Canis lupus familiaris: one gene and its partners. The protein of the gene in region 1 interacts with the protein of each later gene in a biochemical or structural test. Links are inferred from orthologs where the notes say so. Each region holds a gene or a part of one and is shown in the gene's direction. Other genes may lie near its edges.

Region 1 (3,500 bases):
CAGAAATCTTCTTTATTTTGATGTAGTCCCAATTGTTTATTTTTGCTTTTGTTGCTTTTACTTTTGGTGTCAGATTCAGAATATCAGATCTTTAAGACTGATGTCAAGGAGCTTATCTCTTTTGTTTTTTTCTAGGAGTTTTATGGTTTCAGTGTCTTTAATCCACTTTGGGTCATGTTTTGTGTATTGTGTAAGATCGTGGTCAAGTTTTATTCTTTTTCATGTGGCTATCTACTTTATCCAGGGCTGTCTACTGAAAAGACTGTCCTTTCCCCATTGTATGTTCTTGCCTTTTTTGTCACAAATTTATTGACTATATACATGAGTTTATTTTTGGGTTCTCTGTTCTGTTCCACCAATCTTTGTGTCTGTTTTGTGCCAGTACCATACTGTTTCATTACTGTAGCTTTGTAATATAGTTTGAAATCAGGCCGTATGATGCCTCCAGCTTTGTCCTTTCTCAAGATTGCTTTGGCTATTGGGAATCTTTTGTTGCATACAAATTTTTGGATTGTTTGTTTTATTTCTGTGTAAAAGCCATTAGAATTTTGATAGGGATTGCATTGAATCTGTAGATTGCTTTGGGTAGTATGGACATTTTAACAATATTAATCCTTCCAATCCATGAGCATGGGATATCTTTGCATTTATTTCTGTCTTCTTCAGTTTCTTTCATCAATGTCTTATAGGTTTCCATGTATAGGTTTTTCACCTCCTTGCTTAAATTTATTCCTAGGTATTTTATTCTTTTAGATGCGATTATAAATGGGATTGCTTTCTTATTTTCTCTTTCTGTTAATTCATTATTTATGGATAGAAACTCACCTGATTTCTGTATATTGATTTTGTATCCTGCAACTTTACTGAATTTGTTTATTCTAACAGTTTTTTTGATGGAGTCTTTAGGGTTTTCTATGTATAATATCATGTGATAAGTTAGTAGACGTAGTTTTACTTCTTCCTTTCCAATTCGGATGCCTCTTAGTTTTCTTGCCAAATTGCTTTGGCTAGGACTTTTAATACTATGTTGAATAAAAGTGGGGAGAGTGGGCATCTTTGTCTTGTTTCTGATTTTAAAGGAAAACCTGTCAGCTTTTCACTGTTGAGTACAATGTTAGCTGTGGGCTTATCATATTTAGCCTTTATTATGTTGAAGTGTGCTCCCTCCTCTTCTATTTTTTGGAGGAGTTTGAGTTTTGGTATTAATTTTTTTAAATGTTTAGTAAATTCATCAGTGAAGCTGTCTGGATCTTGACTTTTGTTTTTTGGGATATTTTTGAGTATTCACTCAGTCTCCTTACTAGTCATCAATCCATTCATTTTTTCCATTTCTTCATGGTTCAGATTTGGTAGATAGTATGCTCCTAAGAATTTATCCTTTTTTTTTTAGGTTTTCCAGTTTGTTGGTGTATAGCTGTTCATAGTAGTCACTTACAATCCTTTGTATTTCCATGGTATCAGTTTGTAATGTCTATGAGGCTCTTTTTGGTGGGTGGAAGGGCTAACAAATCTGTTCTTTAAGTTAGCAGCAGAAAATTTAGATAAAAGGGATTTTTTTGTACTTTAATATTTTTTAGTCACTAACATCCTAAAATGGAATTCTTTATGTTCCTCTTATTTTCAGTAGTTGTTTTTACCTAGTTTTTGTGGAGGTGTTTCCACAGTATAATTGAAAGCGTAAAGTTATATCTTATAGGACAGAAAATGTTAATTCTGATTAAACGGTATCCTCAACATTGATTTATGTTTTTCCTCTTTAAAGAACTGCACAGTGAATCCAAAGGAAAGTATCCTGAAAAGAGTGAAGGATGTTGGATACATCTTTAAAGAGAAATTTGCTAAAGCTGTGGGACAGGGATGTATGGAAATTGGATCACAGGTAACTTGAGTTCAGTTTGATTACTGTCACTATTTTTTTTTTTTTTTTTTTTACTGTCACTATTTGATAAATAATTTAGAATGAAATATCTTTCCAAATTGTAAAAAAATATTATAATAGTATTTGTCCTATATTGGTAGATTCTGTATCTTGGCTGCCTGTGTATGCTGCTGTTTATGGAAAACTTTATTTTACAAAAAATGCCCCTTACACCATTACAGAAACCAAAAGTAAACATGTAGGCAGTTTTAGAAAAAAATGTAGAAATTTAAAAAATATCAGTACAAAAAAATTAAAATCTTTGATGCTATTAAATTTTTGGTATATATTCTTTGGCTTCTACATATATGAATATTTATGATGCATATACTTACATGAATGGGATCATATGCATGCTATTTCAGGGATACTATTGAATGAAATTAGTTTTATTATTACTGTTCTTATTTCACAAAGTCTAATACTAATATATTGGATAAAAGTATGGGCTCTGAATCAGAACCTTGGGTTTATATCTGGTTCTACCATTTATGAGCTTCATTTAACTTCTCTGAGATTCAATTTCTAAATTTGCTCTGCTTTGTTGTGTAGAATTAGGTAACATATAAAAACGTGTTGGAAAACTAATCTAGATACTTTATTTCAGTGTAGTGAAGTTATATTTTGATTTTGATAATATGTTTTAAATATTTTTAAGTCTTTTTTGGTTGTATATGAAATTTATGCTTATGATTTGAATGAAGGAATATGGTTTGTATGTATCTAAAATTTAGTTATTCTTTGAACTAATGAGAATTATTTATTTGATTAAAACTTTTTGCTGATAAGATCAGTTGGGTCTGATTTTTGCCTTTGCCAGTTTTATGGACAGGCTATTCTCAGTCTTGGGAGAGTTATCCTGAAAATACATGTCCTAGGCCACAAAGTATTACATTAGTATGTAAAATGGGTAAAATAGTACCAGATGTATAGCATATCCTCTGTGTGTGTGTGTGTGTGTGTGTGCGCGTGTGTATGTGTGTGTCTCTGCTGAATGATGTAGACCGAAGTGAAATTAAGGAAAACCAAGAACTGGACTTTCCTTCTTGATAATTTATTGGGAATGTTAACCACCATATTACATGGAAGTCTTGAGTTTTAGACAAGGTAGCTTTTGTGATCTCTTAGTGTTCATATTCCTAAGAAGTATCAGAAATGTATTTCAGGAGAAGCCTTCTTAAAAATTAATAATTATGGTTTTCTAAATTAGTGGAATCTAATTTTTTTCTTTTGTAGCGATACAAACTTGGAGTCCGATTGTATTATCGAGTAATGGAATCCATGCTTAAATCAGTAAGTTAAAAAGAACATAATAGAAAAAAAATTTAATGCTGACACAAAAAAGGCATCAGGTAAACTTTTTTTTTTTATCTGTTTTAGGAAGAAGAACGATTATCCATTCAAAATTTTAGGTAAATTCTTTAGTTTTAGTAAAATAGTTCCTTCTTTTTATAAAAGTAAATGTTTCAAAATCATTCTTTTCTTTTCCTTTAGCAAACTCCTGAATGACGACATCTTTCATATGTCTTTGTTGGCATGTGCTCTTGAGGTTGTAATGGCTACATATAGCAGTAAGTTAAAT
Region 2 (4,030 bases), on another chromosome or scaffold:
AGCCCACATTTGCAGGGCACTGGGCACTTGGGGGAGACCCCTGGCCCTCACCAGCACTTCATCCAGGAGTTCGTAGACAAGAGCCACGTTTCGGGAGATGGTCCCCTCACTCAAGGAGCCACAGTAGTCGCCCAGGAGAGTGGCCAACCTGAGAAAACAGGGCTGTGTGTGCATACCCTTCTACGGTCGTATCCCCGCGCCCAGGTGCCCAGCCCTGCCCTCCTCACCGGGAGAGCAGCTCTAGAAGGCTGAAGGGAGAAATGTTTTCTGAAGTCGTGGCTACCAAATAGAGGCCGCTGTGTCTGATGTGAATGAAATGACGGTCATCGTGGTGCTGAGGCGGAGGCGAGGAAGAGAGCGTTAGGAAGACATGTGATTAAGGACCCGCGAGACTTGCTAGCGGTGGGCCTTGGGGCGAGCCAGGCACCTCGCCCCCGCCCCGGGACCCAGCTGCCTAATGTGGAAGTGGAAGTGGCCCTGGTACCTACCCCGGACTGGCGGAGCTGCGCCCCGTAGAGTGTTAGCGCTCCAGAAACTGTCGCTCGGATTACTTGGCAGAACGTACCCCCCGCCCCGCCCGCGCCCCCCAGCGGCAGCTCTCAGGGAAACGGTCCTGGGAGGAAGGAGGCGCCCCCCAGCCCTCCGGGAGCCTACCCCAAGCCCCGCCGCAGGTTACCATGACAACCGGGGACTCATCTCCGGGCAGTCCCGTCAGCTTCCGGTAGAAGAGCTCGGCCACATCCCGACCGCCACTGTCCCCGCGGACTGACCGGGTGGAAGGACAGCTAAGGAGTCGGCGACACGGGCGGGCTCTAGGGCACTACTCCCACCCAGGCCTCCCGCCCCGCAGGTCAAGGATACAATCCTTGTAGATGAGCGGGTCCCCTTTGGAAGACAGAATGAAGAACTGGGAGATCATGGTGGTTGGAGAGTCCGCAAGGAGACAGCGAAACTTGGGCCTGCCCCGCCCTGCGGCCCCGGAACAAAAGGACGCGCGTAGGCTGGTCCTTTAAGAGCAATTTCTCTCGGTCCGAGCCAGCTCGGACCGCGGGAAACCCGGCGCCCGCCCCGCCCGCCCCGCCCCGCCCCGCCTCGCCTCTCCGCAGCTCGGGTGCCCGCGCCGCTGCCCCGTCACTCAGTCCAGACTCGCCTGGTGATTGGCCGAAGCTATGGCCTGCGGGAGAGTGGGAGGGGCGAAGGGCCTCCTCTTTGATAGGCCCGCACGCGGCGGCGCCCGTCACGTGGGGGGCGACGTTTCGCGCCAATTTCGGTTGGTCGGCAGGAGCCCGCCGCGCGGACGCTTTCTGCTGTCCTGGGAGTGAGCGCCTTGAGCCCGCCAGCTGCTGCCGCACGGGCGATGGCAGTTAAAGACTACGTGCTCGAGAAAGGTGAGGATATGCAAACTTGGGAGGAGCGGCCTGCGCGGGAAGCCTGCGGTCCAACACCTGTTGGCGTGAGCCGGCGTCCTGGGGCCCCGGGGCGCGCGGCCAGAGGCAGGGTCGAGAGGCTGCAGGGCAGAGGCAGACGGTGCGTGGGAGGCGCGCGGGCCGCGGAAGTCGAAGAGCCAGTCATGCCTGGGGAAGGAGTGGCGGGTCGCGGTGGGCGGGGGAGGGTCGCGCCCAGGAGAGACCGGGACCTCAGGAGACCCAAAGGGCTTTCCGCCCCCAAGGACAAGGACCCCGGGTCCCCCCTCCCTGCGCACCCTTAGACATTCGGAGCGCCCGCGCCCTCTCGAGACGCGCCGGAGTCCCGGGGGCGGGCGGGCCCCGGCCGCTGAGTGCCGGGATTGGCCATTTTAGGCCAACCTCTAAGCGGAAGTGAAGGCGGGCGGAAGTTGCGCGACGTCGCTGGAGGGAGTGTCGTCTGTAAACAGTGTCCTTCCGCGCCGCGGCCTCGGAAAGAGCTGCTCAGGGTGGGGGCGTGCCTGAAACTGGGGGGCTTCGCGGGAGGCCGAGAAAGGAGGTGGTCGGGTGGGACGGAGTGGCCCTTGACGAGCCGGCCAATCGCCGGACGGGCTCCCGCCCTGGGCGGAGGAATCCCGGGCTGTGAGGCGGCTGCATCTGGGCCCATGTGCTTCTTTGTTTACTAAGAGCGGAAGCAGTGGCGGGAGAGGGGGTGGGGTGCAGGCTGGGCCTAGTGGAGAGACTGAGGAGACCGAAGAAAAAGAGGAATCTCAACGCGTGGAAGAAAAACTGAGAACCTTGAGCTCAGAGCGTGTGGCGGGGTGTGAAAGGCCTTTGGGAACGAGTACTGAGATTTGTAACCAGGGGAGACACTGGGATTCCCTGGGGGAAGGTTGTTGGGTAAAGCTCCTGACTGCCCGGGGCCCCTTCTCTAGGTGAGAATAGACCTGTTAGAAGGAGTTCTGCTCTACTTGGTAAGAATTACGAAGTAAAAGCGAGTTTTTTAAAGAAGCGTATCAAGGGGTTTTGTGGTAAAGTATCTGAAAGACTCATTCTCATGATTTACGTTTTCCTTGCAGAAAAGGTTAAGAAATTCCTACAAGAGTTTTATCAGGATGATGAATTTGGCAAGAAGCAGTTCAAGTACGGGAACCAGTTGGTGAGTCATAGAAAAAGTGGAGGGAATGGGTGGTTGCTTAAGGAGCTGTAAGAGGTGGCCTGGCTTGCTTCAGTAAGTGTACATGTAGGTAACAGCTTCAGTGTGATTCTTAATATTTAGTAAGTGGAAGTCATTCTGTGTGGGTAATGAGCAGTGTGCTCTTTAGAAGTTAGAGGGCTGTCTTTGGGGGGCTGAGAAGTGAGTATTGCTTTGTCTCATGCTTCTTTCTACCCTTGTGGGTGGGGGACACTGCTGACCATGGTGTACACAGCTCTGTCTCGTCCTTACCCCAGGTTCAACTGGCTCATCGGGAACAAGTGGCAATGTACATAGACCTAGATGATGTAGCTGAGGATGACCCTGAGTTGGTGGACTCCATCTGTGAGAATGCCAGACGCTACACCAGGCTCTTTGCTGATGCTGTACAAGAGCTGCTGCCTCAGTACAAGGAGAGGGAGGTGAGTGGTTGCAGGACAACACAGGGCAACACAGGTTGCTTTCCAGAAGCTTCTCAGATGCTGGTTTTTCAGAGTTGGCAGAAAGGGGGCAGTAATTTCTGCCTGGTTCCCTTTGTGGTCTTTCGTTCTCTAGTCCTGCCACACGTTTTTTCTTCTATCTTTCTTTTCTCTTGAGGTGGTAAACAAAGATGTTCTGGATGTTTACATTGAACATCGGCTGATGATGGAACAGCGGAGCCGCGACCCTGGGGCAGCCCGAAGCCCGCAGAACCAGTACCCTCCCGAACTCATGCGCAGATTGTGAGTGGTCTCAGCGAGGAAGGCTGTGGAAGCTTGTGCAAGCTTGTGCTTCAGAACCTTTGTAATGACTCTTTTCTCTCCCTTAGTGAGCTCTACTTTCAAGGCCCAAGCAGTAACAAGCCTCGTGTGATCCGGGAAGTACGGGCTGACTCTGTGGGGAAATTGGTCACCGTACGTGGAATTGTCACTCGTGTCTCCGAAGTCAAACCCAGGATGGTGGTGGCCACTTACACTTGTGACCAGTGTGGAGCAGAGACCTACCAGCCGGTATGTAGGGAGCAAGGAATAGGAACATATTTAATTGTTAGTGGTTTGCCCCAGAATTACTTTTAACTCCTGGTAGTTATCTGTTGTTTGCTGTGTTCGTTATGAAACACAACTGTGTGTTTACTTATCATTGTTTTTCTGGTCCGTAGTGGTCTTTCCATCGTCCTTTATGGGTTTTTGGTTCCTATGCTTATTGACTCAGGACAGGTCAAAACGTTGGCAGTGTGCGATGTGTGCTATGGGGAAGAGGAAATGTTGACTCAGGTGACGGACTCATGGCTTTTTGCTTTTTCTTGCATTCTAGATCCAGTCTCCTACTTTCATGCCTCTGATCATGTGCCCCAGCCAGGAGTGCCAGACCAATCGCTCAGGAGGGCGGCTGTATCTGCAGACACGTGGTTCCAAATTCATCAAATTCCAAGAGATGAAGATGCAGGAACATG
Region 3 (4,268 bases), on another chromosome or scaffold:
GTTTAGACCAAAGGCCCCTTTTTAATGGAGATTAAGTGACCGGCTTGGTCCTTCTCCAGTTCTCTATTTTGTTCTATTGGCTCATTTCTTCCTCTCATTATTTTTGGTTTCACAACGGGAAACGTTGAGTTCTTGTTGCAAGGCTGGTTTTGGAAAATTCGACACTTACTATCCAATTTTTTTGCGACGTCAGCACCTCGGGCTCAGGGGGGGAGGGGGTTAAAATTTTGGAGAAAAAAAACAAAACAACCAACCAGGACCCAAAACTCAATTATTTGGGGGGCCTCATTGGATCAAAAAGTCTCGTAAAAAATTGAAGGCCAACTCAGTATTCATTTTCCCCCCACCCAACTCCATTTAGGGAGGGGGGGTCGTAGAAAAAAAGTTCTGGGTGGATTCAAAAAAGTAAACGCTGGATGAGTGGATTTGGGTGGGTTTGGGAAGGGTGGGTGGTTGATTATTTTTGAAGTTATGTGGTGACGGTCCTTCGGCCACAGATTTCAAGTCCCATGCAGCGTGGGCTGGTGGGGTGGGCAAGACAGGTGGGAAGGGGCAGAAGACACAAGTGGTTGGGCTGGTGGCTGCTGTTTTCCCTTTCCCCCCTCAGGATCCTCTCAAGGGCTTAGATGGTGCTGCGGCTTGTTTCTTTTTTCCTCGTGACCGGCCTGTCTTTCTCCGAGAAAATTCAAACCTGGGATAAAAGGAACACAAGGGAGAAAGATACAATCAACACGGGTTGCTTTAAACACGCACAAGTACCATGATTGTTGTCGTCAAACACCTCCAGGTCCCAACGAGAACACAGCCGCGTTCCATAAGCCATGGTCCTCAAAACAACCCATGCCTAACCCCCTCCCCAGTCCAACAAGCTCAACAATACTTTACCCTCCAACCGACAGGATACCCAAACTTACCTCTAAACGAACCCCAGAATGGCGCCTGTCTGCTCGGGCGGTGTCTTTTATACCCGGACGCCGCCCAACGCGCCCAAACATGCTAGTGAAACGCCCTTGTCGCGAGACATTGTGCGCGAGGCGTGAATTCATTGGCCAACCCGAAAGACAACTCGCTAGCTGATTGGGTAGCCTTCCTTCACCTTCGCTCAGCCCCTTCCCCCTCGGTACTTTCTTCCGCCTCCTTCCTGGCCCCCCCGACAAGCGCGTGACCGGGGAGCCTAGCACCTCCCTTTCCTCTGTTTCCACCACTTCCGTCCTCGAGAACAGTTCTCACCCTGGTTGGTAGAACCGGGCCGGCGCATGCGCAGTGAGAAGATGTCCCTCGAAATCTCCCTCAAAATTGCTTAAAACGCAAGCAGTAAGTATAAGATCTAGAAGTCGTACTGACTGGCTCAGGAAAAACGCAATTTTGAGGCCAAATTCGATTGTGACGCAGTAGAAATTGACTTCTCCACACGGCCCCCCTTTTACGCTTCCGTCCTGACGCAAGTGCGCGGCCGCCTCCCGCACTGCGGGCTCGCCCTCGCCCCTATCCTAGTCAGTGTCTTGGAGCATGCGCAGTCGCCTTTCCGGGATTGGGCGTGCGTCAAGATGGCGGCCTCCGCATTGCGTTCGTGGCTGAGGCCCCTTCCTGGCCTTTCGCCCTTCAGAAGTGCCTACGGAGTTCAGGTAACTCCTTGGAGCACATCTTGTACAACCGCATCTTAGTTATACCTTGTCTAGGGCATCGCTCCTTTGCTGGGAATCCAGGAGCGGAATCTTTCCCAAGTGCTATTATGCCTTGGCTGTCTAGGCAGCAGTGCTCCCACCACCCTTCCCCTTCCCCTTGCTCTCAATACTGTGCGAATTTTTAATCGCCAGACGAGGGAAAAGAGCCTGGTTAGATACCATCCTTTTCCAGCGTACCAACTCGGCTAAAGCACCAGGTGAAGGATTGGGCCTCTTGGTCGTACAGTCAGCTCCTAAGCGTGCATGTGATGTCTAAACTTGTCATTCCCTGGAGTGCCCTTTTTGAGAAACACTAGCTTCTTCCTGCGGAGCGATCCGCGGATAAAGCCAGGATACGTTCTCACGACCTGGGGCCTACTTTCTTAGCTCTCTTTCTCTCACTCAATTACTTTGGGAGGGGGGGGTTCTGTTTTAGTTTTTGTTTTTCTTTTCCCTCTTCTCGGAGTATACATGAGGCCTTTACTTAGTCCTTTAGGTTGAGGTTTTCCCGCAGCCTCAAGTACTCACCACACTGAAGGTTCTTGGTGGGGCCAGGTGAGATAGGAAAACTTGCAAAGTTGGCACTTCCTAAAGTGGGACTGAAGAATGGTGACAGGGGTCACCACGGAATTAATGACAGGCCTGGTGGCTTTAAAGCTAGCGTTAGGACTCAAGTTTGTTCTGGCCTGTGGAATGTTGACCTTCAACTTCTGTAAAGGGGCAATTCAGTGATTCAGGATTGGGTTGAGTTGGAGACTCACCAATGAGCCTCTCCCCACCGGGCATGACTGCTTCCCAGTCATCTATCCTAGTTACCTTCTCACGTTAGGTTCTCCTTCAGGATCCAGAAGACAGAAGAGTGGTTGTTGATGTTACTTCTACCCTAACAAAAATTCTACTTTGTATATATATTGCCTCTATATTCTGTTAATACAATGAGCATGTATTCCTCTTCTCCCTAACATATGGGCAGTGAAACTATCCAGTCCTTTCCTTGAACTCATTTGCTCATTTTTTTTTTTTTTGCCTTCTTTATAGGTTCCCCTCCAGACTCTTTGCACCAAAGGCCCCCCTGAGGAAGATTCTTTGCCCCCAGTTCCCATAAGTCCTTATAAGAATGAACCGTGGAAATATCTGGACTCAGAAGGTACCTCTAAAATGGAAAGGGGAGAATCAAGGGGGTCTGAAATAAACAGAGACACTTCTGCTATCCCTACCAGGAATAATGTGTGGTCTTTCATTTCAGAATACCAGAATCGTTACAGTACTCGCCCTGTCTGGGCTGACTACCGTAGAAACCACAAAGGTGGAATACCCCCACAGCGGACTCGAAAGACATGTATTGTGAGTTTCTGAAGGTGGTACGTGGATGGGATGTGGAGGAGAGTGGAGGCCATAGTGACAGTGGCACCAGCACTTTTTCTCATAGGACTTTGAACATCTTTCACCTTCTAGTTTCTTCTCTCCACAGCGTAGAGATAAAGTTGCTGGGAATCCCTGCCCCATCTGCCGTGATCACAAGCTGCATGTCGACTTTAGGGTAAGGAGAATCTTCTCCAAGATAAGGACTTGGATTCTCTTTGTAGCGCTAGAGAGATTACCACGGGTGTCCCACTACAGTCCATTTGCATTCATTTTCTAGTAGTATGAAAACTTCTTTTCTAGTCTTTTATCTTGTACTGTGGTTCATACTAATAAAGCTTTATGTCTTTTTTTTTTTTTTTTATGAGAGACAGAGAGAGACAGACAGACAGACATAGGCAGAGGGAGAAGCAGGCTGCATGCAGGAAGGCCCGATGTGGGACTCGATCCTGGGTCCCCAGAATCATGCCCTGGGCTGAAGGCAGGCATAAACCACTGAGCCACCCAGGGATCCCCAAAAATGTCTATTTCTAATGGGAGAGCAGTACTCAAAGGTTCATTTATATCTTATATCCATCCCAATTTTTAGCAAGTAGTTTGGGCTAGTGTTTTTCTTTTTTCTTTCTTTCTTTCTTTTTTTTTTTTTTAAAGATTTTTTAAAAATCTTTATTTATTCATTTTTATTTATTTATTTTATTTTATTTTATTTATTCATGAGAGACACAGAGAGAGAGGCAGAGAGACAGAGGGAGAAGCAGGCTCCCCACAGGGAGCGCGATGCAGGACTGGATCCCAGGCCTAGTGTTTTTTGAGGTCGGTTTTGTTGTTTTTTGGGTTTTGTTGTGTTTTGTTTTTTGTTTGGGGTTTTTTGGTCATGTAACTATTTAATGGCATGCCAAGATTTAAGGCTGGAAGGCAGATACATGAAGCAAGATACAGAGTTTAATTGTTTTTCAGAAAGCCTTTATTGCAAGAACAGGACTTGCTCCTTAAAAAGTTCAGAAACTGGGATCCCTGGGTGGCGCAGCGGTTTGGCGCCTGCCTTTGGCCCAGGGCGCGATCCTGGAGACCCGGGATCGAGTCCCACATCGGGCTCCCGGTGCATGGAGCCTGCTTCTCCCTCTGCCTGTGTCTCTGCCTCTCTCTCTCTCTCTCTGTGACTATCATGAATAAATAAATAAAATCTTTAAAAAAAAAAAAAAAAAAAAGTTCAGAAACTGGGACACCTGGGTGGCACAGCGG
Region 4 (4,139 bases), on another chromosome or scaffold:
CTTCATTAGCAACAAGGTCAACCGGCCTCTCCTACGTGCCCTGCCCACTCAAAAATCCGGTCACACCAGATCTTGACAAGGTTTTCCTCCCTGTTTGTAAGACGTGGCAGATGTGGGCTGTGGAAGTCCTGGGAAAGGAATCTCATTTCTCCCAGGAGACAAGAGGAATTACAGCGGCAGGGAGGCCGCTGAGTGAGGATGGAGAAGGCTGTGTGCCAGCGGAGAGTCCGGAGGGGCCGGCGCCCCGGCTGGCCGCGGTGCGGGCAGTCCGCAGAGTCGGTGCGGGAGGCGGGCAGCCCGGGAGCCCCGGAGCCCGGCGCGATGGCGCTGCGCGGGCAGCGGCGGCCCAGACCGCAGGCTCGCCTGTGGGAAGCGGGCGCTCTTCGTCTTCCGGCTCCCTGCGTCCTGACAACCCTGCTGCCTCGGAAGAGGGGAGGCAGAGACCGACGACCGCAGCCGGCAGCCCCGGGAGGGCGGATGGCGGTCCCCGCCCCGGCCTCTCGCCCCCGGAGCCGCAGGACGGCGGAGTGCCGCAGGCCCGGGCGAAGGCTGCCCCGCGGCGGCTCGGGCGGCGGGGCCCGGGTGCCAGGCTCCCCTCGCGGCTCCCCGCCGCCGCTGGGGGAAGGAGGGGGCCCAGCGCCCGCGGCCTGCTTTCCCAGGGCTGGCCGAGCCTTTTTGACAAGCTGATTGCATGGCGGGGATTGGCTGGTCCGGGCGTGACGCCGGTAACAACAAAGGTGGAGTTGGAAGAAATTAGATTAAAGGAGAGGAAAAAAAAAAAAAAAATTAAAGGGGGAGCTGGCAGGGGACTGGAGGCAGAGACCGAGGGGGAGATGCGCGAAGCGCGGTCTCCTGGCTCCCGCTTCGCCCCGGAAGCTCCTGGCGCAGACCCACCGGGATCACGCTCTCCGCCCCAACCCCGGCCCAACTACCGAAACCGGGGTGGGGGGTGGGGGGAGGCTACTGCTTCTTGAGAAATCCCCCTAATTCCCACCCTGACACCCCTTGCTACGGCCCAAGGGGAGAACTTTTTGATCGGACACCTCGGATCCTAAACCCGGAGGAGGTGAGGGGCGTTGAGAACAACGAGAGGCTCGCTCTAAAACCCGGAAGGCCCTCGCGGGGAGCCGAGATCCGGCGAGGCGGGGTGCTCCCCCGGTTTTTCAATGTGTTGCAAATCTAAGAGCTTCTTACTTTTTTTTTTTTGTAACCCCCCCCCCTCCTTTATCCCCCACCCCCTCGCTTTGGCTTCAGGGTTGCAAAAGCAAAGAGCAATAAAAAAAAAAAAAAAAAAAAAAAAAAGCCGCGCACACACTCAGACACACACCAGTGGCGACAGGGGAGAGTTGGAAAGACGCAGGAGAGAAGCAGGAGGCAGGAGGCAGCGGGGAGGGAGCAATGGGAGCGGGAAGCAGGCAGGTTCCCTCGCAAATCCCCCTCCGGCCCTACGTCGCTTCGCCGGCCCCGGCAGGGGAGCCAGGAACCGGGCTAGCAGATGGAGGAGTGGAGCTCGCTCTAGGCAGCGGGCTTGGCCGGAGAATGGAGGAGCCGCCAAGCGACCGGCTGATTGGAAGAGAAACGCAGAGCGATGGAGGCGGGGGTAGGAGGACGATTTCTCTGCGGGGACTGGCGGCGGCGTATACGCCCGGGTCGGGCGCTGCAGAGCTTGGCTAGCTTTCAACCCGCGCTCGCCGGCTCCAGCCCCGCGCGCCCCCACCCCCAGCCCTCCCGGCGGCTCCGCAGGTGAGTGCGAGCTGGGGGCAAAAAAAAACCCCAAAAGTCTCAACACGCCCGCCCTGCCCCCCCACCAAAAAAAAGAAAGAAAAGCATTTTTTTCTTTTTCTTTTTTTATTTTCGTGCAGCCCCCATCGCGGTGGGAGGGAAGGGGGTGAGGCTGAGTGGCCCGGAGGAGGCGGAGGGGCCAGGCGAGGCCGGGGTGGCCCGGGAGGCGGCGGCGCCGAGGCGGCTCTGACGGGCGAGCGCTCGGAGCGGCGCTGCGCTGCGCCGAGGCGGGCGGGCGGGCGGGCGGAGCGGGGCGGGCGGAGCGCGGCGCGTGGGGCTCGCCATTAGCCGTCGCTCCGCTTCGCCATCTCGGGCTTTGTCTGGCGACTCGCTGCCCCGGCGTCGGCTGCGGCGGAGCTGCGGCTCCGCTCTTCGGCCCGCCGCACCCCTAGGCGCCCCTGGCCCGCGCTCCCATTCACACGCTCGGTAAGTGAGCCCGGGCTCCGCGGATTTCGGGGGAGAGGGGTTGCTGCGAGTGGCGGCGGCGCCGATCTCCATGCGCCCGGGCAGGCCTGGGGAGCCATGCCGGGCTGGATTGAACCGGCTCCCAGAGCAGCTCCTCCGCCGGACCCCATCGCCCCCTCGCCGTTTCCGGGGTGTAAAGGAGCAAAGGGGACTTCTTTTTTTTTTTTTTTTAATTTGCAGGCAGGGCATTTTGTACGGTTTTTTTTTTTTTTTTTTTTTTTTTAAGTTTCGTGTGTGTGCTGTTCGGAAGCAAGGGGACCGCGAGGTAGGCGCCGAAGCCTGGCGCCGGGATGGGCGTGCGTGCGCCCCAAGCCGGTGGCCACGCTCCGGGGATGAGGGTGGGCGCGGAGCGCCCGCTCCAGGAGGCGGGAGAAGGGAGCGGGTGAGGACTGCCGTGGAAACCCGAATCTTAGCTGGGAGGACTTGGGGGAGAGCTCCGAAGCAGGGCTGCGGGCACCCCCTCAGCCTCCCCGGCCGCCGGGGGGCCCTCCGGGCACCGTCTCTGGCGGCCGCGCCTCGCGCCCTCCCTCCCGCGCCGGCCGAGCCTGCTAGTTCCCCCGCGGGTCTGGCGAGGTCGCTCTCGGCGCCCGCCCGCCCGCCTCGGCTCCGAGCCCCGCCGCCATCCGGGCGGCTGCGTGTCTCCCTGCCCCGGCCCCCCCTCCCCGGCAGCAGCAGCAGCCGCCGCCGCCGCCGCCGCCGCCGCCACCGCCGCCACCACCACCACCACCACCACTACCACCACCCCCCTCCCCTCCTTCCTTCCCTCCGCCTCGGCCGCCCGGGTCCCCCCAGCTCCCGCCCCTCCTCCCAGCTGCCCCCCGCGGAGCCCGCCCGGGCAGGCTGTGGGAGGGAGCGGAGCCGGCGAGGCGGGCGGGCTGGCGCTCGCTCCCCGGGGGTCGGTGTGCGCTCTACGGGGAAGGACGCGCTCGCTGCCCCGCTTCTCCCGCCCCCCCTCCCGCTCCTCCTCCTCCCTTCTCCCTCCTCCTCCCCGCTCCGGCGGCGGAGGCTGCGGCGGCGGCGGGGGGTGTGCGAGCTGAGGCCGGGGCCGGCGGGCGGGCGGCGGGCGGGCTGCCTGCAGGCGGAGGGCGCTGTGCTTTGTGCTTTTCGCCGCGAGGAGCAGCAGGCAGCAGCAGCCACAGCCGCCGCCGCCGCCACAGCAGCAGCCGCCGCCCCAGCGCCGCCGCCGCCGCGCCCGGAGGAGGAGCCGCTGCCGCCGCGGGAGGGAGCTGCGGCTGTGCCCGGCCGAGCGGGGGAGGGCGCCGCCGCTCAGAGCCGGGGAGGGAGCCGCCGGAGCGGGAAGCCCGGAGGCCGCGCTGCGCCGGGTAACCGAGGCGGCTGAGGACGCGCGCCGGGGTCGGGGCCGGGCGGCGGGGAGCGAACCGCGGGTGCCGTAGACGCCGGGGGAGACCCGGGCCGCCCTCCAGGCAGGGGACTGGACGAAAGAGGATCAGGGCATTGGAGAGGACGCCGAGAGCCGGGGGAGGGGAGGGCAGGAAGCGAGGCCCGAGCCGAGCCCCGGCCGCGGGCACAGGAGCCCGCGCTTCTCCGAGCCGGCAGGCGCAGTTCTCGCCGGCCGCCGGAGGGGGCGGCGGGGCCGGTGAGCGCTGCGCCCCCGCCTCCCGGCCGCCGTCCTCCCGCCCTCTCCTTGGCTCAGCTCCCCGGAGGCCGGGGCGGGGGCGCCGGCGGGGCTGGGCCGCAAGCTCGGGGGAGGAGGCGGCGGTTCCCGCCGTGGTCGCGCCTCTGCGGCGGGCTCCTCCGTGTGCGTCGGGGTGGCTGGGCGGTGGCGGCGCCTCCGGCCGGGGTGGGTGGCTCGGGGGCGGGGGGCAGGCTAGGCCGCTTCTCTCCGGCTGCTCACCCGCCCAGGCGGGCGGGGACGGCGTCGGGAGCCCGAG
Region 5 (4,030 bases), on another chromosome or scaffold:
CTACCAAGTCAAACTTGCCCTTTCACAACTCTAGGGGTCTACAGTCTTTGGTTCATACCCTTTCATGGCACTTACCTATACCATACAGTGCTTGATGCTGGGGTTATTTACGGAAGATCTCTTCTCCATTAGTTTGAAATCAGGCACTGTGACATTTTTTGGGGCAGGAACTGCTAGAAAATGAATGGTGACTCATCAAGGCCAGCTGCCCGGTCTCCCTGCTCTGGGCTTACTTCCCACTCCATGAGGCGAGCTGTGCTTTTTGTATGCAGGGCTGAGTGGAAGACACATAGTGTTCAGGATACTGAATCTTGTTGCAGCAACAAATTATTATTATCATTACTTTTAAAGATTTTAATTATTTATTCATGAGAGACAGAGAAGCAGAGACACAGGCAGAGGGAGAAGCAGGCTCCATGCAGGGAGCCCGTTGAGGGACTCGATCCTCAGACTCCAGGATCACGCCCTGGGCCAAAGGCAGGTGCCAAACCACTGGACCACCCAGGCGTCCCTGTAGCAACAAATTAAGCAGCAACTTGGGCACCTAATGTGGAGAACACACCCAGATCTCTCCTTCTAACCTCGCTGCTATCGCCACTCAGCGGCTGCTTGTTTCCCTGACAAGGCAAGCAGCTAGCTGTGTGGAGGGCTTGGGTTATTCGGTCGTGGGCCATGATTCTTGCGTCTAGACTGTTTGAAAGGAGTGTTAATGACTAGATTAGACCGTCGAGTCCCGGTCCCAAGGCGCAGGTATACCTGCACTCTCCAATATCCCTGCAGGGCTTCCAGGACCGGCACCCGGATCCCCCGTTTGGAAGGCTAAGGACTGGCCTAAGATCTCCAGCTCAAAGCAAGAAAAGCTAGTTCCAGGGCTTCTCGCAACTGGCCCTGGGTTGATCTAGAAAGCAGGCTAACACCGTGGGCCTGGACGGGGTGCCTGAGGGGTCAAGGGGACTACGGTCAGGTGCCTAGAGATCGCCGGGCTCGACGAAGGGATGCAAGTCAGCCCACCTCGCGGCCCCCAGGGCGGCAGAAAGGGCCCGCACGTTTGCCAGTACCCACCTCCTCCTCCGGCCCCCTCCCGGCTCCGCCCCGCACGGGTGGGGAAGGGCCGCACGTGATAGGGAGAAAAGGCAGAAACAGGCGAGCGGACATTCGAGGCCGCGGCGCTAGGTGGGGCTTGGGTACGCGCGCGCATGCGTGCGTGCGTGCGTGCGTGGGCGTGGCCCACAGCACGCCGTGCGCGAGGCGGATGTCCGGGCCGGCTGGGCCGGGGCGGCTGACGAGATGGCGGAAGGTGGAGGGTACCGTGAGCGGCCTGATGCGGAGACCCAGAAATCCGAGCTCGGGGCCTTGATGAGGACCACGCTCCAACGAGGGGCGCAGTGGTGAGCACCGGGCCAGCCTTTCCGCCGCCCAGACCCAGAGGCAGGGGCTCTGGTCCTTAGGCCAGACCTCTCTTTCCCGGCTTGGATAGGGGCCGGGTGGGGGCGGTGTTAGTGACCCTGAGAGGGTGTCCTGAACCTTGTCTCTCAGAAGAGGACCCGTAGAAGCACCTCAGGGAAAGTGTGAGGGTTATCCTTGCCCTTTCGGAGCCCCAGAGGGCGGACCCGGTGGGGGGTAGGGGCTACAGGGTGGGGGAAGGGGCGTGCTCACGGGGACCTTCAGGATGGGAAGAGCCCCTTACCTTCGAGGACTCTCTGTGTGACCTTGAGGGAAGGCGACCACACCTCCCAGACCTCGGTACCTTACTATTAAAGCCAGGGTAACAGTATTTGGCATCCCCACGTTATGGGTTGAGAAGAACATCAGAAGTAGATACTTTTGTAACTTGTAAATTCTCGAACAGATGTCAAGGTTAGAAGTTGAACAAATGTTTGAAAGCTCCGGGTTACTTTGGTAGCAAGTGTCAAAAATAATTGTGGCAGCAGCGTTTCAGTGTGGGGGAGGAGGATAACTTAGAGCCTAGATAAGAAGGTGAAAAGTCCATGGTTTAGAAGAGCAAATCTGAGACAGTAGGCTTCTTAATAAATTAGTAGAAAGGACAGTTCTTCCACTAGTGAAGAGATTCCTGGGTGGTATTATTGTGTGGGAGTAGAAAGCTAAGGCTTAGATTTGCATCGAATATGATTGAACATCGAATCTTTAAGAAATTAGGTGGTGTTTATGCTACTTAAGGTAATTGAGCAGGAAAGGGAAACATTTGGATTAGGAGGAATTCAGATAGGGCTGTACAGCAGGGCAAGCAGAAGTTATCCTGCTTCGGAGTGATAGATGAAGAATATGTGGCAAGATCAGAGAGAGGATGTTTCAGATAGTCTAAGGTCACACTAAAAGTGTTTGGAGAGTATTGTTCAAGGGGTTTAGAGGGAGGAACACCTGGGTGTTTCAGCGGTTGAGCATCTGCCTTCGGCTCAGGGTGAGATCCTGTAGACACGGGATGGAGTCCCACATCAGGCTCCGTGCAGGGAGCCTGCTTCTCCCTCTGCCAGTGTCTTTGCCTCTCTTTCTCTGTCTCTCACGAATAAATGAAATCTTAAAAAAAAAAAAAAAAAAAGTGGGAGGGGGGTTTTGGAGGGAAAAGAGCATTTTTTAAAAAAGATTTTATTTATTTCTTAGAGCGAGGCAGAGACACAGGCAGAGAAGCAGGCTCCGCCCACACAGGGAGCCTGATGTAGGACTCGATTCCAGATCCCAGGATCATGCCCTGAACCAAAGGCAGATGCTCAATCACTGAGCCACCTAGGTGTCCAGGAAAGGAGCATTTTAAAGATTTGGGTGTATATATAGATCCTTGTGGCTTTTGGGAAGCTACCTGATCATTCAGGTTTGTTTTTTATAAAACCTAAAGGACTTTGGGATACCTGAGTGGCTCAATCAGTTTTAAGCGCCTTGCTTCACCTTGGGTCATGATCCTGGGGTCCTGGGATTATCCCTGCATCAGGCTCCCTGTTCAGCAGGGGGTCTGCCTCTCCCTCTTCCCCTCCCCCTGCTTGTGAACTCTCAAGTGCTCTCTCTTAAATGAATAGATAGACAAAATCTTTAAAAAAAAAAAAACAAAAAACCTTGAAGGATTCACCAATATGATTGTTGTGCTTCCCCCCCCCCACAAAGATTTACTCCTCCTCTCTTAATTGTAAAACATCATAGTGATACTTTTTAAAAATTTTTTCATAGTGATACTTTTAAAAGTTAACTTGTCTGTCCTAGACAAGAACTTCTATAAAGATCATTTGAAAAAAAAAAAAAGATCATTTGAAATTACTGAATTACTCATTAGTGAACAGGAATTTACTCATAGGAGGACTTCATTTAAATAAGCTTGAATCCAAAAATAAATAAATAAATAAATAAATAAATAAGCTTGAATCCAATAATTTCCTTTCATTTATTTATTCATTTATTTATTTATTCTTTTTTTTTTTTTTTTTTTTTTTTAAGTAGATTCCATACCCAGTTGTAGAGTGCTGTGTAGGGCTTGAACTCACAACTCTGAGATCAGGACTTGATTTGAGACCAATAATTGGATGCTTAAGCAACTGAGCCACCCGAGCACCTCTCATTCTTTTCTTTTTCTTTCTTTCTTTTTTTTTTTTTTTTTTTAAAGACTTTATTTATTCATGAGACAGAGAGAGAGGCAGGTTCCATGCAGGAAGTCTGACGTGACTCGATCCCAGGTTTCCAGGATCACACCCTGGCCTGAAGGCAGTATAAACCGCTGAGCCACTTGGGCTGCCTGAGAGTGTTTTTATTTTTTTTATTTTTTATTTATTTAAAAAAAATTTTTTTTTTTTTAAATTTATTTATGATAGTCACAGAGAGAGAGAGAGAGAGAGAGGCAGAGACACAGGCAGAGGGAGAAGCAGGCTCCATGCACCGGGAGCCTGATGTGGGATTCGATCCCGGGTCTCCAGGATCGCGCCCTGGGCCAAAGGCAGGCGCCAAACCACTGCGCCACCCAGGGATCCCGAGAGTGTGTTTTTAAATGGGAATTGTGTGTTCTCCAGGTGGAAAGACCATAAAAAATTTA
Region 6 (4,105 bases), on another chromosome or scaffold:
CTCCCGGTTATTAACCCCACCCCAGGAGTAACTGCTGGTTTCACACTGTCGCTATAGTTCTGCCTTTTCTGAGACTTCAAATAAATGGAATCACACAGTAATACTTTTCTGTGTCTGGCTTCTCGTGCTCACGGTTACGTCTGTGAGATTTCTTTCTTTTTTTTTTTTTTTTTTTTGTGAGATTTCTTCATGTTGCTGAATGCCCCAGTGGTCTGTCCTTTTTACTGCTGTGCAGTATTCCACTGAATGAATATACCACATTTCTGTGTCGACCATATTGTTGATGAGCGCGTCAGCTAGGAAAAAGAACATCTGGAACTCTCATTCTCGCTAGTGGGACAGTAAGTTGCTACCATCACTAAGGAAAAGTCTGTGTCTATCATCGATAACAATGATATATATTGATATCTGTAATACTAACATATGTTGTATTTATCATTGTCCTATATCTCTCATTTACTAAGCACTGAGTGTGCACCAAGCCCTGTAAGCTGTGTTACCCCAATCCTCATAATCACCCTAAGAAGTAGATAGTTGCCTTCTTTGAAATAGCAGTATGGTAGCAGCAACATGATGGGATTATCATGAAGTTGAACACTCTGACGGACTGAGTCCAAAGCTGACGTTTTGGAAATGCTGTTCGTGGTACCTCTTATTGTTATTACTGAAGGACACCGGGCCAGGAGCTCAGGAGCCTGCATTCATGTCTCCCTGAGATAACCTGAGTGAGTCATCTCAGCAGCCTTCAGCTCCAGGCCCCTGGAAGGCCGACATCTGCTAGCAGGGACTTCCGGGGATGACACAGGGCACACTCTTCAATCAGACCCAGGCTCTCACTTCAAGAAGATCCTTATGCTTGGGGGGGGGGGGGGGGGGGGGGGGCGGAACAGTGCATCAGGAAGGGTCTTGGGAGTGTTTGGGAGCCCTCTGCGACATGGGGACCTGCGACATGGGGACCTGCCGCTTCTGCCAAGTTTAGTTCACAAGGTACTTTCAGGTGATGGTCTCGTTGTCCTGGAAGGTCCACAAGGACTTGGCGGCTGTATGCTTCTCAACAACTCACCCACAGAGATGAGCAAGTGTCTCCCTCCCCCACCCGCACCCCCACCCGCACCCGCACCCCGGGACTCTGCCAAGAGCTGGGGGCTGCAGCCCGGAACTCCCGGGAGGGAGAGGGACAGCGAGCGACCAGGGAAACCCAGGAGCACGAGGCTTCTGGCGGCAAGTTGGGTGAAGGACACACAGCGGGGCAGGAGGTGGAGAGGAAGTGCGGGGGGCGGGGTGCTCCAGACTCCGTGTTCACCGGAGACCCTGAAGTTCTAGGGAGGGAAGAGCAGCCCCGAGGGCGAGTGCGCAGCGCAGGGCAGCTCCCGCCGAGGTGAGGGAGGACGTGGGGGAGGACGTGGGGCAGCGGCTGCGAGGGCACCGGGTGGGGCGGGGGTCCGCGGGCGACGGAGCTCCAGGGGAGCCCTGCAGCCCGGCCCGGGAGCCCGACGGGAGCCACCGGGAGGGCTTTCAGCCAGAGGGGCGGCCCGGGCCCCGAGGCCCCAGCCGCGGAGGTGGCGGGAGGGGCCCACGGGGGAGGCGCCGGGAGGTCAGCTCAACGAGTGGCTGCAGGGCGAATGCGCGCTCGGAAGGGCGGGCGGGCGCGCGCAGGGCAGCCGGCGCCCCACGGACGCCCCGGACCCGCGGCTGCCGGCCCAGGTCGTAGGCCCGCGACCAGGCGCGGTGACCTTGGGCACAGGCCCGCCCCGGCTCCCGGCCCGGAACCCTGCGTCTCGGGGGCGGGGAGGACGTGCCGGGAGGGGCAGCGCGCGCGGCGGGGCGACGGCCGGCGGGACCCCCGCTCCCCGCTCCCCGCCAGCCCCCGCGGCCCGGCCCGCACCCTGCCGCGCGCCGTGTTTACATCCCCGCGGGCCGGCCACGCGGCCTCCCGCCGCCCCCGCCGCCCCCCGAGCCCCGGCCCCGGCCCCGGCCCCGCCCCCCGCCGCGCGCGCGCCAGCCGGCCTCCCGCGTCCCGCGCCGCGCCGCACCTCGCGCCGCGCAGGCCCCGTGGCTTGGCCCCGCCCCGCAGGCCCCGCCCCGCCCCGCAGGCCCCGCCCCGGCCCTCCGGCGCGCAGGCCCAGTCCGCTGGCCCCGCCCTGCAGGCCCCTGCCCCCGCAGGCCCCGCCCCCGCAGGCCCCGCCCCCCCGTCCGTAGCGCCTCTGCCCGTCTGCGCGCGTCGGCGGCCTGCAGGCGGCTTCGGGGCCGGGCCCGGGCACTGGGGCGCGGCCGCTGGAGGGCCCTCGGACCGACCGGGGCGGGGCGGAGGCTGGGCGGGAGGGTGCGAGGGCGGGCCGGGGGCCGGTTTCCGGCGCGCAGGGATTTTTAATGTCGCCGCTCTCGGCCGGGCGCGGAGCAGCCGGATCGGCGCCCGCGCGGTGTAGGGGGCAGCGCGGATCCCGCCCCGCCGCGCGCTCGTCGCCGCTCCCGCCTCCCGCCTCCCGCGCCGCCTCCCGCCGCCCGCCGCCCGCCTGCGGACAGGGCTCGGTGATGGCCGGGCCGTGCTCCGGGGCTCCGTGGGGGGGGGGCGAGCCGGGCCAGGGCGCGGCGGGGTCGCGGGGTGGCTCCGGGCCGGGCCGGGGGGCGGCGGGGCGGGGGGCGGCGGGGCCCCGGGCGCGCGGCGGACCCGGCGCGGCGGGTGACAGGCCCCCCGGGCCCATCGGCCATTTTCCCGGCCGGCCCGAGCCTCCCGCCGCCGCCGCCGCCGCCCGCGCGGGGGGAGGGGTGTCCGGGGCGCGCGGCCGGCCCTGCCCCCCCCCGCGCCCGCGCCCCCGCCCGCGCCCTGACCCCCGCCCGGCTTGTGCCCCCAGGGCCCGAGGTCGGCCCCGCGTGCCGCGCCAGCCATGCCGAGGGAGAGGAGGGAGAGGTGAGTGCCCCGTGGCTGCGCGGCGGGGGGAGGGGAGCCCAGGCTGCCAGCGCCCGCCCTGACCTCGGTGCCACCCGGCGGCCCGCAGGGATGCGCAGGACCGGGACCCCATGAAGGACGACGCTGGCACCGACGTGTCCGTGCGCTCCAGGAAGAGGAAGGCAAATGTGGCCGTTGTGAGTACAAAGGAGACAGGTGGGGGAGGAGACCCCCTCCCGGGCCTTACCTGGCGGGGCTCCCCCCCCCACCCCGGGGGCCCTGCCTCCTTGTACTGATTGGGGTGCCCGCAGCCTAACCACCTTTCTCTCTCTCCTCTCTCTGTGTTTTTTGTCTTTGGGCCGTCTGGTGTGTTTCCTTGGGGGCTGGGGGTCGCCCTCCCTTAGTTTTTGCAGGATCCGGATGAAGAAGTTGCAAAAATTGACAGGACTGCGAGAGGCCAGTGCGGCGGACAGGTAGGTTCACGTGCCCACCGGGCCTGGGCGGAGGGCCTGCTGCGCCTTGTGCTTTAGATGGACGCTCGGTCCCCGCTGCCTCCTGCTGGAGCCGTTCCTCTACCGGGGGCCATGGTGCTCATCCATGGGCCGAGGCCTGGCCGGTCGGTGGCATTGGCCTCGGCCAGCCGTGGGACCCCAGGAAGGCGTTGGGTTCCTCACCCGCACCTCCGAGGTTACAGATAACGCGCTGATGTCCCGAAGAACCAGAGTGGACATCAAATAACTCAGTCCTCTCCTTTTGCCCTTGAGGAAACTCAGACTCAGGGCAAGAAAGTGACCCAGAGTCCTGTGCAAGCCAAGGGCGGAGTCCATCCCGGAGCCCTGTCTCCAGGCGGGGGAACTGGGGGAGGGCTCCTGACACAGAGCTCTCCTGCGACTGTGATGCGGGGGTTTGTGTGTGTCCATAGCGACCCAGATTCTCCCCGTCCCCGCTTCTGTCTTTCGGTCCTGGTGCTAAGGACCTCCCTTCCCCCCACCACACGGTGAGCAGCAGGTATGTAACTTCCCCCCTTCTGGAGGTCCTCAGCCTGTCCTGCAGTTACCTACGGTGATGAGGACTGCCGTCCGGGGCTCTGCCTGGCCTCAGCCAGAGTATCAGTGGAACATTCTCTGTCACGATACCTGTGTCTCAACACATTTTTTAAATTGACTAGTCCATTTCTCTTGTCTCTCCGTCATGGAGTTGCCGCCAAATTTCCTGCGT
Region 7 (3,500 bases), on another chromosome or scaffold:
TCTCTCTCTCATGAATAAATAAATAAAATCTTTAAAAAAAAAAAAAAAGAGTACCTGCAGATAATTTTCCACATGCACAGAGGACACTGTCAGTATGGGTTATTGACAGGGAATTCAGAAGTAAATCCTAGTCACCCCCCCAACCCCCACATGGCATATCCTTGAATGCTACAGAAGCTCACTTTACCAATATTTGTCCCCTCTGAGCTTTTATGGAGGCCCAGGAGAGGGAAAAGACTCTACAAGAGTATTACTGCCCATGAAATTGGCCATATTCTTCTGTGACGGTCACAGAAGGCTCTGTTTTCTAGGACCTCCAAGGAGGTCAGTGCTCTGTGAAGGGTCTCATGGGCAGATATCTGAGTCCCAGTCCAGTGCTTGTTTGTGCTGCCTTCCTGGGGAAAGAAAATGTAGGGAGGAAGAGTCCAGAGAAAGTGGAACAAATTGAGGCTATTTCTCTTTTAAAAATCCGGTGATATTACAGAAGGATGTTGGTCTTGTAAAAGTGGAGGATAGAGTGGGGTTACAGTTGAAGAAAAGCAATAAGCAATCTGGAGATTGGACACACAGAGTCACTTTGTAATCTAGACCCAGGTAGGAGGGGTAACAGCAAAGGCCATGTCCTTCCAGAGATTTTGAGAAACTACTACAGGTGAGATTCAGTGAAACTCAGAATGAAATGCCCACATTTGTCAGGTAACAAGCTGAGTTTTTATTTTCACCTTCTCCTCCCAATGTTTGACCAAAATTTTGGCATCATGCTGGACTAGTCTTCTGACAAATGCTCTAGGTGTGGGGCTCTGGAGCACTGACGTGAGATGCTGATATCACCTGGGGCCAATGTGGTGGTCTTTGCTCATCACTACCTGGCCGACCTTGAACAACCCCTGCCCCCCTGTGGACCTGTTTCCATAACTGTAAAATGAGGCAATGCACTTGATGCATTCATTCATAGAACACCTCTTTTTACCTCTAATTCCCCTGACTGGAACCTCTTGTACGGTATTTAACAGAAGTGGCAAGAGTAGACATATTTGACTTGTTTTTGACCTTAGAGGGAAAGCATTCAATGCCTCCTCACTAAGTATGATATCTGTGAGTTTTTCATAGTTACCCTTTTCAGGTTGCGTTAGTCCCATTGTAATGCTAGTTTACTTAGCATTTTTATCATAATAGAGTATTGGATTTTGTCAGTTTTTTCTGCATCGGTGGAGCTGTTTAGGTGGTTTTTGTCCTTTATCTTTGTCTAGTAATATGATGGATTACATTAATTGATTTTTGGATGTTAAACTAACCTTGAATTACTGGGATTGGTCACACTTGGTGATGGTGAATAATCCTACTCGGAGATTGCCAGATTAGGCTTGCTAATGTTTTCTTAATGTTTATATCCAGGAACAGCTGGATGGCTCAGTCGGTTGGGCATCCAACTCTTGATTTTGGCTCAGGTCCTGATCTCAGGGTGGTGAGATCAAGCCCTGTGTCCAGCTCCATGCTGATCATGGAACCTGCTTAAGATTCTCTCCTTCTCCCTCTGCCCCTCCCCACTCACATGCTCACTCTCTCTCTCTCAAATTTTTTTTTAAATTTTACATCTATTATTCATAAGGAATATTGGTCTGTAGTTTATAAAAAATATTTATTGAGCAACTTATGTGCCAAGCATTGTTCTAGGGATTGGGGAGTCAGCAATTTTTCAGAACAGAGAGAAAAATCTTTTCTCTCATGGAGTTTACATTCCCCTGGATGACCAGCACAGCTGCTTTCAGCTCACATTCTGACATTTTTTTCTGTGTCTGCTCAATGATGTTGCGTGTTCCAGCCTCCATGCCAGGCTTCTGGTAAGCTGGATGGCCAGCGTCTGGAGATTGGAAGGGGATGACTTTCTTTTTTAAATTGCTCTTCCATTCTTCCCCCTTTTAAAGTAACCACTTCTCATATGAGGTGTCAGTGTTCTGACTATGAATTCTTTTATCCAATATGATAGTCATGAGATTCATTGATGGGGCTTCGTATTGTCGTGGTTTGGTCACTATTACTGTTATATGCTATTTCATCATATGCATATTCAGCAGTTTATCCATGACACTGTAAATGACATTTGAATTATTTGCTGCTTGGGGCCCTTGCTGAACAGCACTGCTGGGCACATGTGTAGATCAGTTTCCCTTTTTGTGTTTGATCAACTTTAGGATGCAGGGATGCACCCGATCTATGCATGCGCCCAGCAGTGCATCCCTGCACCCTAAACTGCTGTGCCACGGGCTGTGTTTAAATTCAGTTTGGGTAGATTCTGCGAGTTTTCAACAATGGAGGTAAAAAGTAGGTTCCCACCAGCAAGGAATGACATAGCTCCAGGTGCTATAAACAGCTCCAAGTGTTACAAACACGTTGTAGCCATCCCAGCCAGTATGCCCCAGGATCACACTCTCTCTGGCATCCAGTAAAACAAGGCAGGAGATCCTGTTCATTTCAAATATGACCAATTAAATGGAGCCATCTGCCCACCTGGGGCCTTTCCTCACAGGTGGTACAGCTTTCCTGGGCACCCCTGCCATGCTAGCAGTGGAATCCAGAGGCCATTTGTGTCCAGACATCCTCCACGGCCCCTGACTCGCTTTATATTTTCCAAGTAGGAAGAAGAAAAATGACTCCGGGAGATCAATCAAGACTGCCCAGGACCAAGTGCCTACATACCAGTATAACATGAATTTTGAGAAGGTGGGCAAATGCATCATCATAAACAACAAGAACTTCGACAAAACAACAGGTAAATGTTGTGGGCCAGGGCTAACCTTTCCCGTTGCCTTCAGCTTGTATCAGACTTCACTTAGAGAAGGGTTGTGCCCACCTGCTGTGGCAGGCAACACCCTGCCTGATGCTGTTCATGGCCCGGGAAGAAGGCATGAGGGACATCGGGAGCTTCAAGTCTAAGGTCCCACCTGGTGCATGAGGTGATGGGGGATGTGAACAAAGGGCTAAGAATCAAGGGGAGCTGTTTGGCCTTGCTGGGAGTAGAGGGTTGCTGTGACGAGGCTCACCTTCTGTGGGCAGGCTGGATGACCTTCTCCTTTGAGTTTGCTTCTTATTTCAGTTGCTCATGCACACAGTGACCTCGGGGGAGCATTTACACCAGAGCCCGTAAGGCTACACTTAGTGCCTTGACCAGATGCTGCTGGCAGGCAGGTCTCAACCAGGGATGGCTCATCCTGCGCTTCCTTCCCACAGGGATGGGCGTCCGAAATGGAACGGACAAAGATGCCGAGGCTCTTTTCAAGTGCTTCAGAAACCTGGGTTTTGATGTGGTCATCTATAATGACTGTTCTTGTGCCAAGATGCAAGATCTGCTAAAGAAAGGTGTGTGTGTGTGTATGTCTCCCCGCCTCCCACCCTCCCACCTCCTCCCTGCTCCGGGACGGAGCAGCATGCCCCTCTTGGGAGGGTGCCTCTGTGGGATGGAGCGATTTCCGCCTGGGCACCCTTGCCTTCCTTAGGGTTAC

The links.
Region 2: the proteins of RB1 (region 1) and MCM7 form a complex in vitro, tested with the Homo sapiens proteins (2 studies listed by BioGRID). The link is inferred for Canis lupus familiaris from reciprocal best matches to the Homo sapiens genes RB1 and MCM7.
Region 3: the proteins of RB1 (region 1) and MRPS18B form a complex in vitro, tested with the Homo sapiens proteins (2 studies listed by BioGRID and IntAct). The link is inferred for Canis lupus familiaris from reciprocal best matches to the Homo sapiens genes RB1 and MRPS18B.
Region 4: the proteins of RB1 (region 1) and UBTF form a complex in vitro, tested with the Homo sapiens proteins (2 studies listed by BioGRID). The link is inferred for Canis lupus familiaris from reciprocal best matches to the Homo sapiens genes RB1 and UBTF.
Region 5: the proteins of RB1 (region 1) and USP4 form a complex in vitro, tested with the Homo sapiens proteins (2 studies listed by BioGRID). The link is inferred for Canis lupus familiaris from reciprocal best matches to the Homo sapiens genes RB1 and USP4.
Region 6: of the proteins of RB1 (region 1) and CCNE1, one has a biochemical effect on the other in vitro, tested with the Homo sapiens proteins (9 studies listed by BioGRID). The link is inferred for Canis lupus familiaris from reciprocal best matches to the Homo sapiens genes RB1 and CCNE1.
Region 7: of the proteins of RB1 (region 1) and CASP7, one has a biochemical effect on the other in vitro, tested with the Homo sapiens proteins (2 studies listed by BioGRID). The link is inferred for Canis lupus familiaris from reciprocal best matches to the Homo sapiens genes RB1 and CASP7.

The regions. Positions count from the first base shown.
Region 1 is NC_049243.1:3,108,227-3,111,726, reverse strand, and holds part of RB1 (retinoblastoma-associated protein), read left to right. Parts: intron 1-1,762; coding exon 1,763-1,879; intron 1,880-3,154; coding exon 3,155-3,211; intron 3,212-3,298; coding exon 3,299-3,330; intron 3,331-3,412; coding exon 3,413-3,489; intron 3,490-3,500. UniProt on the Homo sapiens protein: Tumor suppressor that is a key regulator of the G1/S transition of the cell cycle. The hypophosphorylated form binds transcription regulators of the E2F family, preventing transcription of E2F-responsive genes.
Region 2 is NC_049227.1:9,437,535-9,441,564, forward strand, and holds the start of MCM7 (DNA replication licensing factor MCM7), read left to right. Parts: upstream 1-1,230; 5' UTR 1,231-1,357; coding exon 1,358-1,388; intron 1,389-1,832; exon of another isoform or gene 1,833-1,912; intron 1,913-2,200; exon of another isoform or gene 2,201-2,224; intron 2,225-2,234; exon of another isoform or gene 2,235-2,377; intron 2,378-2,482; coding exon 2,483-2,562; intron 2,563-2,855; coding exon 2,856-3,020; intron 3,021-3,195; coding exon 3,196-3,320; intron 3,321-3,406; coding exon 3,407-3,587; intron 3,588-3,891; coding exon 3,892-4,029; intron 4,030-4,030. Other genes in the region: AP4M1 (AP-4 complex subunit mu-1), read right to left, coding at 52-148, 228-334, 677-765, 862-919. UniProt on the Homo sapiens protein: Acts as a component of the MCM2-7 complex (MCM complex) which is the replicative helicase essential for 'once per cell cycle' DNA replication initiation and elongation in eukaryotic cells.
Region 3 is NC_049233.1:573,446-577,713, forward strand, and holds the start of MRPS18B (28S ribosomal protein S18b, mitochondrial), read left to right. Parts: upstream 1-1,468; 5' UTR 1,469-1,547; coding exon 1,548-1,625; intron 1,626-2,702; coding exon 2,703-2,811; intron 2,812-2,910; coding exon 2,911-3,008; intron 3,009-3,135; coding exon 3,136-3,204; intron 3,205-4,268.
Region 4 is NC_049230.1:19,050,645-19,054,783, forward strand, and holds the start of UBTF (nucleolar transcription factor 1), read left to right. Parts: upstream 1-1,339; 5' UTR 1,340-1,743; intron 1,744-2,050; exon of another isoform or gene 2,051-2,208; intron 2,209-3,437; exon of another isoform or gene 3,438-3,569; intron 3,570-3,923; exon of another isoform or gene 3,924-4,048; intron 4,049-4,139. UniProt on the Homo sapiens protein: Recognizes the ribosomal RNA gene promoter and activates transcription mediated by RNA polymerase I (Pol I) through cooperative interactions with the transcription factor SL1/TIF-IB complex.
Region 5 is NC_049241.1:40,305,720-40,309,749, forward strand, and holds the start of USP4 (ubiquitin carboxyl-terminal hydrolase 4), read left to right. Parts: upstream 1-1,230; 5' UTR 1,231-1,287; coding exon 1,288-1,388; intron 1,389-4,030.
Region 6 is NC_049222.1:122,576,746-122,580,850, reverse strand, and holds the start of CCNE1 (G1/S-specific cyclin-E1), read left to right. Parts: upstream 1-1,305; 5' UTR 1,306-1,378; intron 1,379-2,512; exon of another isoform or gene 2,513-2,529; intron 2,530-2,852; 5' UTR 2,853-2,885; coding exon 2,886-2,908; intron 2,909-2,996; coding exon 2,997-3,084; intron 3,085-3,291; coding exon 3,292-3,360; intron 3,361-4,105. UniProt on the Homo sapiens protein: Essential for the control of the cell cycle at the G1/S (start) transition.
Region 7 is NC_049249.1:24,916,752-24,920,251, forward strand, and holds part of CASP7 (caspase-7), read left to right. Parts: intron 1-2,633; coding exon 2,634-2,770; intron 2,771-3,228; coding exon 3,229-3,357; intron 3,358-3,500. UniProt on the Homo sapiens protein: Thiol protease involved in different programmed cell death processes, such as apoptosis, pyroptosis or granzyme-mediated programmed cell death, by proteolytically cleaving target proteins.